Linked DNA regions of Drosophila melanogaster. Changing the gene in region 1 together with any one later gene gives a genetic interaction. Each region holds a gene or a part of one and is shown on either strand. Other genes may lie near its edges.

What was found.
Region 2: of wts (region 1) and sd, changing one suppresses a phenotype caused by changing the other (phenotypic suppression), as found in Drosophila melanogaster (2 studies listed by BioGRID).

Annotation. Positions count from the first base shown.
Region 1 is NT_033777.3:30,803,566-30,808,519, forward strand, and holds the start of wts (warts), read right to left. Parts: upstream 3,055-4,954; 5' UTR 2,723-3,054; intron 1-2,722. Other genes in the region: dj-1beta, read left to right, coding at 3,633-3,719, 3,783-4,102, 4,169-4,325. UniProt on the Drosophila melanogaster protein: Negative regulator of Yorkie (Yki) in the Hippo/SWH (Sav/Wts/Hpo) signaling pathway that plays a pivotal role in organ size control and tumor suppression by restricting proliferation and promoting apoptosis.
Region 2 is NC_004354.4:15,813,280-15,818,299, reverse strand, and holds the start of sd (scalloped), read right to left. Parts: upstream 3,002-5,020; 5' UTR 2,570-3,001; intron 150-2,569; exon of another isoform or gene 1-149. UniProt on the Drosophila melanogaster protein: Transcription factor which plays a key role in the Hippo/SWH (Sav/Wts/Hpo) signaling pathway, a signaling pathway that plays a pivotal role in organ size control and tumor suppression by restricting proliferation and promoting apoptosis.

The DNA of each region.
Region 1 (4,954 bases):
GGCGGCTGCTGCTGGGTCGCCTTTGCTCTTGCTCTCTTTCTCCCGCTCGCTCTCCATCTCTCTGTTTTCGTTTCGTTTTCCCTTTTTTCATACACTCTCTCACACAAACACACACACACACTCTCTGGAGGTGGTCGGCAAAAAGGGGGCGGGGATCGAAGCAAGCAAGAAAAACGAGCTAAATTGCATTTTCGTCGTCAACATCGCTCGACTTGCATTGCAACGAAACAGGGGCGCAGAAGGGGTGCGGAAAATTCCAGGGGGTTGGGGATTTTCATTGGGATTAGCCCAAGATCAGCGAACACCCTCACAAGCTTAGGATATACGGTCTTTGGGAAAATAGCCTAAAATTCTTCAATGTGACTTAGGAACTAGGATGCTCAGTATCCGTTAACTTTATTTGTATCAAAAATCATTTCATTGAAAAGAGTTTAATCGTTTAAAGATTACACTGGAATCCATATAGCACTATGCTCCATTGCGTTCTACACTTTCTGCGGGGTATCCCTATGGTCGTCACAATCCCCGCGCCAAACTTCCTCTTCCTTTTCTTGTTTTATCGTTCATTTACTTTTAAAAGCGAGCAACAACAGCAAAAACAGCCCACTGTATTGGTATTTATTGCCCTGCTCTCTGCTCGTTGGCTATATGCGCGCGCGTGTGTGTGTGTGTCTCTGTGTGCTCTGTGGAATGCACACGATCGACGCCAATGGAGCCTCACCTGTTCCAGCAGCAACAACAACTATCACAACTACAACAACAGCTACAACAAAGGCAGCAACAAACAACAACACACTCACATAATCCACTGCGAATTGCATGCTGGAATGTGAATGGAATCCCAGCGATTTTCCAGCGTCGCTGACGATGACGCCGCTGTTTGCTGGTTTTAAGCAAAAACAACAATCGCAACATCGCCAACAAGCACAAAAACAACAATAGTAGCAGTAGTAGTAGTAGTAATAGTAGTAGTCCGTCCCACTAGTGACTGCAACAACAAAGTTTTGCACATTTCGGAGTCGTTTTTTTGGACTTTAGCTTCGATTTCAGTTGCAAGTTTTGTGGGCTTGTTTATATCATAGCTGTGTACCATAATATTTGGAAATCCGATAGAGAATCGATGGTTTACTTCCATTCTATACAAAATAGTGTATGTAGAACTGAAGTCTGCTTTTGATGGCAAGTATAAAACCATTCAATAAAGTTGCTGCTAGTTTTAGCTACTAAAGAGTATTCAAACTACAGATAGCTGTGTCACACACATTCTGCATCTCATTGCAATTAAGTTTATGAATTTTCGGCTGGCTGCCTCCACAAAGGATGAGGTCTCGATGTCCCGCCCCTTCGTTTCTTGCTTTGTGCTTCGTGTTTCGTGCTTTTGCTTTTTCGCGAGCACAAACGGGCCGCCTGAGAAATTATTGTCGCACTGACATTGAAGTGGCGGCGCTGCCTCTAATTACAAATTACAATGGGCCGCAGTTACTTGTGCCACATTTCGCATTTGCATCTTGCGTCTGTGCATTTACTGTTCTGCTCCCGCGGATTTTCCCCATTCCGTTGATTGTGTACTCTAGTCACATGCAAATCGGAGGCAGCTGCTGCCCACGGTTGCATCAACACCGCGCATACTGTCACAAAGTTGATCTCTGCTATGACTACAGTGGCTTCTGCCTATGTGGGTTAATGAAGAATATGCTCTTCCATTTCATATCCATATGTGGGGGTTATTGTTACATATCAAAGTAGCATTTTGTGATTATTAGATATTTGTGTATGACTCATTCTTTTTGCTTAAGTCCATCAAATATGAAAATTAAATTTGTTTCTAACTGGAATATTTTCATAGTTTCAAATTGCAATGATTCAAAAGTTTCCTTTATAGTAAATATCACAATTCTACAATAGTCCTCGCAGTTTCTTTTAGTAGATCTTCACTGTATTCAAATCTTGCTCCGTTTTCGCCATGTTTTCCTTGTATTCCCGCAATTACCACTATTATTATTGTTATTGCTGTTACTCTAATTGTACTACTCTCAGTTTTCGTTGTTTAATGTCTTGTTGATTTCTCGAATTTGTAATTCTTTCGACACACGAATATCGCAGCCAATTAAGCGCTGTTTCAGTTGGAAAATGGTAAGAGGAAACGGGAAAACCGAGAAAAGTGCGTGCATACATTGACCTTGCCTAATGTCGTTGGCATTCGAAATTACACTGGAATAAAGTTAAAAATTCTACGAGATTGATAGTTTTCCATGGACACCAGTACCCTCCGCCAGAAAGAGAGGGAAGACAGAAGAATTTAATCCGATTTGTGTAGCAACCTCTCGCTCGCTCTCTTTGTCTCCTCCGTTCTCCCCCACACACACACACTCGCACGCAGCCGTACTGATTTATTCCACGAGAGAGCGAGAGCGAAATATGTAAATACAGCCTGTTGCATTTGTGTGTGTGCTTCGCATTTCGTTTTCAGGCACTTTTCCGCACATTTTTGATTGCTTTTCGTGCGTTTTCCGTGCAGTTTTCCTTGCTTTTCCACACAGGCAATTGGAAATGCACACCAACACACACATGGGGCGCACACCAGCGCAGCCACACACGCACTGGCTTACACACACACACACTCGCACACATTCAACAGATATTGCATTTTCTTTTTGGACTGGAAGATACGCAAATTCCAGCTGCAAACGTTGCATTTTCACCAGGCATTTTCCGCAATTACCTTCTTCGCGTTTTCCACGTTTTCCACGCAATTTCCTCGCTTTTCGCCTCTTTGTTCTCGCCTTTTTCGCGTTTCCCACACACGGCACTTATTGCTTTTCCTCTTTTTCTCCGTTTTTCCTTGCCTTTTGACGACAATTCGCTGATATTTGCCGACGTATTTTCACTTGATTCACTCGCGTTCGCAACCCATCACTTTTCGCGTGCATTCAATCGCATTTTTCAGGCATTTCCGATGCGCGTTTGGCTTAAATTTAGTAAAATTAATTCGTGGTTTTGTTGCTGCCGTCGTGCTAGATATGTTCACATATCGATAGACCGATATCGATAGACAGAGATCTAGGGAGGAGCAGCTGTACTTGGTCTGGCAACCACATCAGGTATCGATAGGATTTGACCGTGGTATATAAACATCGATATTATACTGAAAACAAATATAAAAATATTTCAGTGATCAGTTTATATAAATTTATGTAATACGACAGAATATAGAGAGCAAGTAAATGTTATCGGTTTTAACTTAAAGAACAAGACTTGTTAGAATTGTTAATGAGGTTTCAAACCATTTCTGTGTAGCACGTAGCATAGACGCAATCCTTTTCTCATATAAATAAAATCAACTGATTTCAAAGTCTTAATATTTTAAAATATAATGCAGAACATTGTTTTGAGTAAGAATGAAAATATTAACTTCCTGTGAAAAACAGAAGTTTTAAATGCATCAAATTAGTCGCCTAACTGCAAGTCAAACCAAATTATACAAGTGTTTTAGTTTGCCGCTCAGTTTTTGAAACCTCGATAAGGAAAACTCAAAGCTGCGTTCCAGAACAGCGCTATCGATAAGCTATCGTATCTGCATGGTTTTCTTTGGATTTCCTCAAATTTCAAGGCACTTTTCTAAGTTTACCAAGATGTCGAAAAGCGCGCTGGTGATTTTGGCTCCCGGAGCGGAGGAGATGGAGTTCATCATAGCCGCCGACGTTCTGAGAAGGGCGGGCGTAAGTGCTCTCAACCTTTCCATTAAATCACTCTGTTCTATACTTATACTTACTATATGATAGATCAAGGTCACCGTAGCCGGTTTGAATGGCGGGGAAGCGGTGAAGTGCTCGCGGGATGTGCAGATCCTGCCGGACACCTCGCTGGCCCAGGTTGCCTCGGATAAGTTCGATGTGGTGGTGCTGCCCGGCGGACTGGGTGGCTCCAATGCCATGGGGGAGTCCTCGCTGGTCGGTGACTTGCTGCGCAGCCAGGAGTCTGGTGGCGGACTCATCGCCGCCATCTGTGCCGCGCCCACCGTTTTGGCCAAGCACGGCGTCGCCTCCGGGAAATCCCTCACCTCGTATCCCTCAATGAAGCCCCAGCTGGTGAATAACTATAGGTATACCACCTCTTAAGTTTATTTTCCCATGATCTTCATCCCATTTCTTTTGATTATTTCTTTAAGCTATGTGGACGACAAGACGGTGGTCAAGGATGGCAATCTGATCACCAGTCGAGGTCCTGGCACCGCCTACGAGTTCGCCCTCAAAATCGCCGAGGAGCTGGCGGGCAAGGAGAAAGTCCAGGAGGTGGCCAAGGGTCTTCTTGTGGCCTACAACTAACATATTTACACTTATTTATGAAAACAGATTGTTTCAAGAGCAACTCATGCAAACAACAACTGAATTAAAATAAAATTATTCAAGACAGAAGTTGTGATTCAATTTTATATTTGCTATTTGAAAGAAGTTTAAATGGAGAGCTAGGAAATGGCATGTTGTTAAAGATATATTAAAGAAATTTATTTAAGTGAATTTAAATGTCATTATTTGAAGCAAACGGTTTTCATTTAATTAGTTTTGAGCGAAGTATAATTCTATCATAATGAATCAACTGAACTGCGTTAAAATAAATTGTTCAATGGGCTTTAATTTAATTTGTCATGAAATATAAATGCATATATGGCATGAAAAAAGAAACATCTATATTATTTCATTTGGTTATGACTGGACTATAAATGAAATTAAAAATGCATATATTAAAATGGGATGTGAAGCCAAATGGAAGTATTGCTGACGATATATTTACAAAATAGTACATTATTAATATATTTAGTTATATTCAATATTTACATTGATTAAACATTCTGCTGCATTTAATTGTAAAATTTTAAAAATAGCTGAAAGTAATGGCCTACGGTGGAATACCCCTACTGGGTTGGAGTCCCTGCACACCACAACCCGTGCCGCGA
Region 2 (5,020 bases), on another chromosome or scaffold:
ATTATTTTGTAATTTATTTTTGTTTTGTATTCGCCTTGCTTCTTCCACACAGCGTGAAAAAAAAAAAAAACAATCCCGGACGGCAGCGGCAAAGAAACAAAAACTAAAATGCGTCTGGTTAAGAGAAACGCGCACGTCAAACTGAAATGTGCCGTATAGTTTCCACATATTTCTATTCTTTGTTTTGGCCGGTTCCTTTTCTGCCCCTGGTGTTTCGCCCATATAAACCTATAGGGATGGTTGCTCTAGGCATTCGTATTCGTGAGACAGCGGATAGAATGCAGTGTGGCACATACCCTCGCAGCGTACTATTGATAGAATAAAATAGAATGGAAGTAGAAGCCTTCAAATAGCCAGCCTGCAGTGTGGGGCGTCAAGTGAGAGTCTGGGTCAGCAGGGGTATGATATGGTATGGTATGGTATAGTATGGTATGGCATGGTATGGTATGGTATAGTCTATAGTCTAGCATAGGTAAAGGTGTGCTACGGAACTTCAGACAGGGGGCGAGTCAACACTATCAAGGATCAGAGGCATGGTATGCTATGGTATCCATATATGATATGATAAGGAATAGAATGTTATAGTGTAAGGTATGGAATATATGGTATAATAGGCAATAGTAGTTTGTAGTCAGCTATGTAGCTTGCAATGGTAGTTAGTAGAGTAAATAATGGTATAGTACTGCATAGTTAATCTGCTATATTAAGAAGAAACTGGACTTAGTTCAGTTTAATAAAGTATGGTATAGATGGGTGTAGTTAATAATAGAATGGCGTCGTATGGAAGCAGTTCGCCAGTATCCAGGACAAGTCGGGACAGTTCGATCCCAGTTCTATCCTAGGCACAATACCAGAATTTCCCGAAACGGAAACGACTGTATGTTTGGCTATCAAAAAAGTAGAATGCATATTGCACAGCTTGGAAATGCATGGCGCAGTGCAGGGGTTGGGATCGTTTTAGGGGGTGAATGTGCCATTTTTCATAATCTCGTAAGCACTCCACGCACACAAACACACACACACACACACACACACTCACACACAAAAGGACGAAAAGGAGTGTAATGAAACGGACAAAATAGCTGAACCGTGCATTAATATTATCACATGGCATTTCAGAATTTCTGAATTCAAACAGCAGCGGTTCAGTTCGGGATAATTTCCAATTAGAAAAACTAGAAACAGACTTTCCTACGCTTGAACTCAATTTCCGCCTCGAAAACTCAACACGCAGCTGCTCGTTCTGTTCAGTTCTGTTCGGTTTTAATAAGGGAATGTGTGTTCTTTTTCCTGCCTTTTCCATTCCTACCCTTAGAAGCCGCAATTTTGTTGTGCGGCAATTGGAATTTATGGTATGCATTCTGCTTTTTCATTTTCTTTATGTATGCCCCGTCGCATACACATACATAATGTACATACATATATATATATCCGCTTATACATACATATACATACATACATATATAAACGAAGAATGTGCCTGGATGGGATGGTAAGGAGCTCGATGATGACGTACTTAGCGCACTCAGGATCAAAGTTGGGATCCGCAATCCCTACACAGCCAAACGCACTTTGACTTTCAGCAGAAAACCGTAACAGGTAAAAATTATTGTTCGTATCTTTTTAGTGACAAATAATATAAAAGGACAGTGCAATGCATTATCAAATTATTGACAATATGTTTAGTATAGCATATATATCCTATATTCGTGTGAAGGTGCTATCAAAAGGATAATCTTTTGGTTACATAAAATACAGATCAATACACATGATGTAGAGATCATTTTTTAGGTCTTCAAATTATTCCCAAGTCAATAGAGTTTTATAGGAAATTAAGGTGGCGATTCTAACCCTATAAAGTGTACAAATATATTTTCAATCAGCATAACGATCTGTAAAAAATTTTAATTATTCACAATTGCACTATAGAACTTAAACTGTCTTAAGCGAAACACTGTACACGTATTAATTCATTGATTATTCATAGGGCATATAGAGTTCGGTGCGCTGCCCTTTCATTATTTCAACCCCTAAAGCAACGCACTCCCATTTTCTGCTGCCGAAAATCTTTAGAAGTCAGCACAAACGAATTTGCAACCTGGCAAAGGTTAAAAAGGAATTTCTGTGAGGTGCAACGACAAAATAATTAATAATAAATCTTTTGTCCTCTTAGCTTTTAATGAAATTATGTGAGGTAATGTTAATAATGAACATAAAGGAATAATGAAATTACGAAATACTTTTCTAAGAGCAAGTGTTTAAGAACAGGCAGCTAGAAAATAGACAACAAATGTGCGAAGGAAGTGAAAACTAGAATGGTTCATTAGATATATTTACGATTTTGATCGGATATAGGATATTTTAAGCTAAAACAGGTGACTAAACTTTAAATTTTCCGAAAGCCTTTTGAAGTTTATATAGTTCAAATATTGTTGGAAAATTACGTACGTTTAACTTAACATAGGAAATTTAAGGCAGAAAACCATAATTGTGTAAAGAACTCATAATTTGCTAAAAGTTCTTCAAATTTATCATTCATTGATATGCTGGAAATTGAGTAAGTACTTACTTATTGAGTAAGTAACGCAGCAGTCATAAGAACGATCGGTCAACTAAATGGGCTGAGCTTGCTGTTTTTTTTTTTAAGTAACTGCGATTAACTTTATCACAATCGGATATGTTTTCGTTGCTCTTAAAGATATTCGCCAATGACTCATGACATACTCATTCCGTAGGCTACAGAAGCCCATAGCTGTGATAGCAACTGGTCATATACCAACGTGAGTAATACATTTTGGTTGTAACTCGTAGAGTATATGGTGTTCGGCTTGTCCAAGTTGACTTTTTCATTGTTTTCACTTCATTTTCTTTTATCACTTATCAATAGTTGCGTTGTTTGCAGAAAGGTATTACGATATTATTGTAAATATACACAGCTCATTTAGAAAATTCATTTCGTAGAATGCGATTCAGAAGTAAAAATAGTAAGTGAATTATTGTAGTTTTGCTTGAAAGTTTTTGTTTAAAACCGACAAGTTGCGAACAAGTGTTGTGGCAAACAATGCCCACAAGTATACCAAATCTTTTTCAGGTTTTTTTTTTTAATGATTCCAATAGGACATTCAGCTATTCGATTAGTCTTCGTTGCTCACTATTGCCAGTAAAGTAATAAAAATAAAAGTATATGTCCATATGTACATATATCTTTTCATAATGTGTATCTATGTATATGTGAACAGCAGACAAGTTGATGGCTCTTAAACTGAGGTAATAAATATATCGTAAAACAGCAGATCGCGTGGACATGTCAACATATTTCGCCAAAATCCAGATCGACAAAATCCGTATGTATATGATTTTTTTGTGCTGCGAATTGTCTCCCACACTGCATTTACAAGCTTCTGGCCAAAAATAAGATTATGCAATGCTGTGCAAAATGAACAACACATGCGAGAAAAGCTCTTTTCGAAATCCGCTCGGTTGGCAAAATATTTTCGAGCTAACCCCCCCCCCCCCCCCCATTCATCTTATAAGAACCACTGTGTTATCTTAAACCTGACTAATCCATTGAATTATTCATCTTGGCAATCGAAAGTTGGTGGCAGCTTGCCCTCTCTTTTCGGATTTAGAACGCTTAGATTTAGATTTGGGTATGTATGTATGTATGTATGTATGTATGTATGGTTTACATGTACGATATGTATGAGATATGTGCAGATGGGTGGAGAGTTTACTCTATAGCGATGGAGAGAAGGTGCCCTGCAGTTCAGGTCTCCGTTTTCGGGTGACTTTCTCAAATGAAAACCCGCCATGCATGTGCATGTGCTTTGCATTGAGAACCCACGAGGAAAGTCACCAAAGAAAAACCAGAGATCGACAAACTTTTGGGCGCTGGATGTGGAGTGGGTGTGTGGGGTGGGGGTGGAGTTGTAGGTTTATGGCATAGAGTTTGGATTTACGAGGTGTGTCTTTGTATGACTGGGTAATTCGGATGGGCAACGGACCTGCCTGTTGTTCTGTCTTCTCGGCAACTTCCAACTCGCTGCAGCTCAGGTTGTTCTGCAATTGCAGCAGCCCAGTGCTGCAAGTGCTCGAGCTGGTGATGTTTTTCATGCAGCCAGCTTTTTTTTCGTAGATTTCCTTTAGGTTTCGCTATTCACGAGTATGCCCGCCCGGAGGAATAGGAATACGACTTCGAGTACGAGAACGAGTACGGAACGAGTGCGGTACGAGTACGGTGCGTTGTCCACTTAGTTTACGGAATTAAAAGAAATCTGTTCGCGCTAGATTTAGACTCTGATGTCACCGTCTCCACCAACAACATCAAACGTTGTTGTCGTCTCCGGCTGGTCAAAGGCAAGGCACTCACTCTTGTTATTATTATTAGCTTGTAACAGTAACTGTTTTTCAGCTTTTCAGTTTTTCAGGCTCTGCGCTGGGCGTGTTATTATCTATGTCGTTGATAACACGATGGAGCGGTTTGTTAATTTATATTATACATGTGTACAAGTTATGGCAGCGTCTTTGAACGGGTCCGTTGACGGGGGCGGGGGGTTTGTGCTGACTTTCAAACGAAAACCGAACAAATGAAACCCTTTCGCTTTGGATTATGTGGCTCATTCGATACTTGTTTTTGCACTACTTTACTTTTCGATTCTACGCGTGCACACACATGCAAACTCGCAATACTTACTCACATCTGCAATAATTCATGAATTGGTTCGGAGTTCTTAGGAAGTGAGAAAGATCTTTTTCGGATTCCGTTAAAGTTAAACAGGCAACACACACACACACATCTGCATCTTCTCAATCTCACTCTATTCTCGCTCTCCCGCTCTCATCGCTCTCCCGATATATGTACATATATATATAACTGTGTATTTTGTATGAGCAGCTTTGTACAATATCGTGGTCTTTGTGAAAGTGAGAATGTGTCAGTAAGCCTTTCAGTGGAAATAAGGCGCAGCTGCGGCAATAAGATGAAGAAAGAAGAATGGCCACCGGAGAGCCAACTATTGAT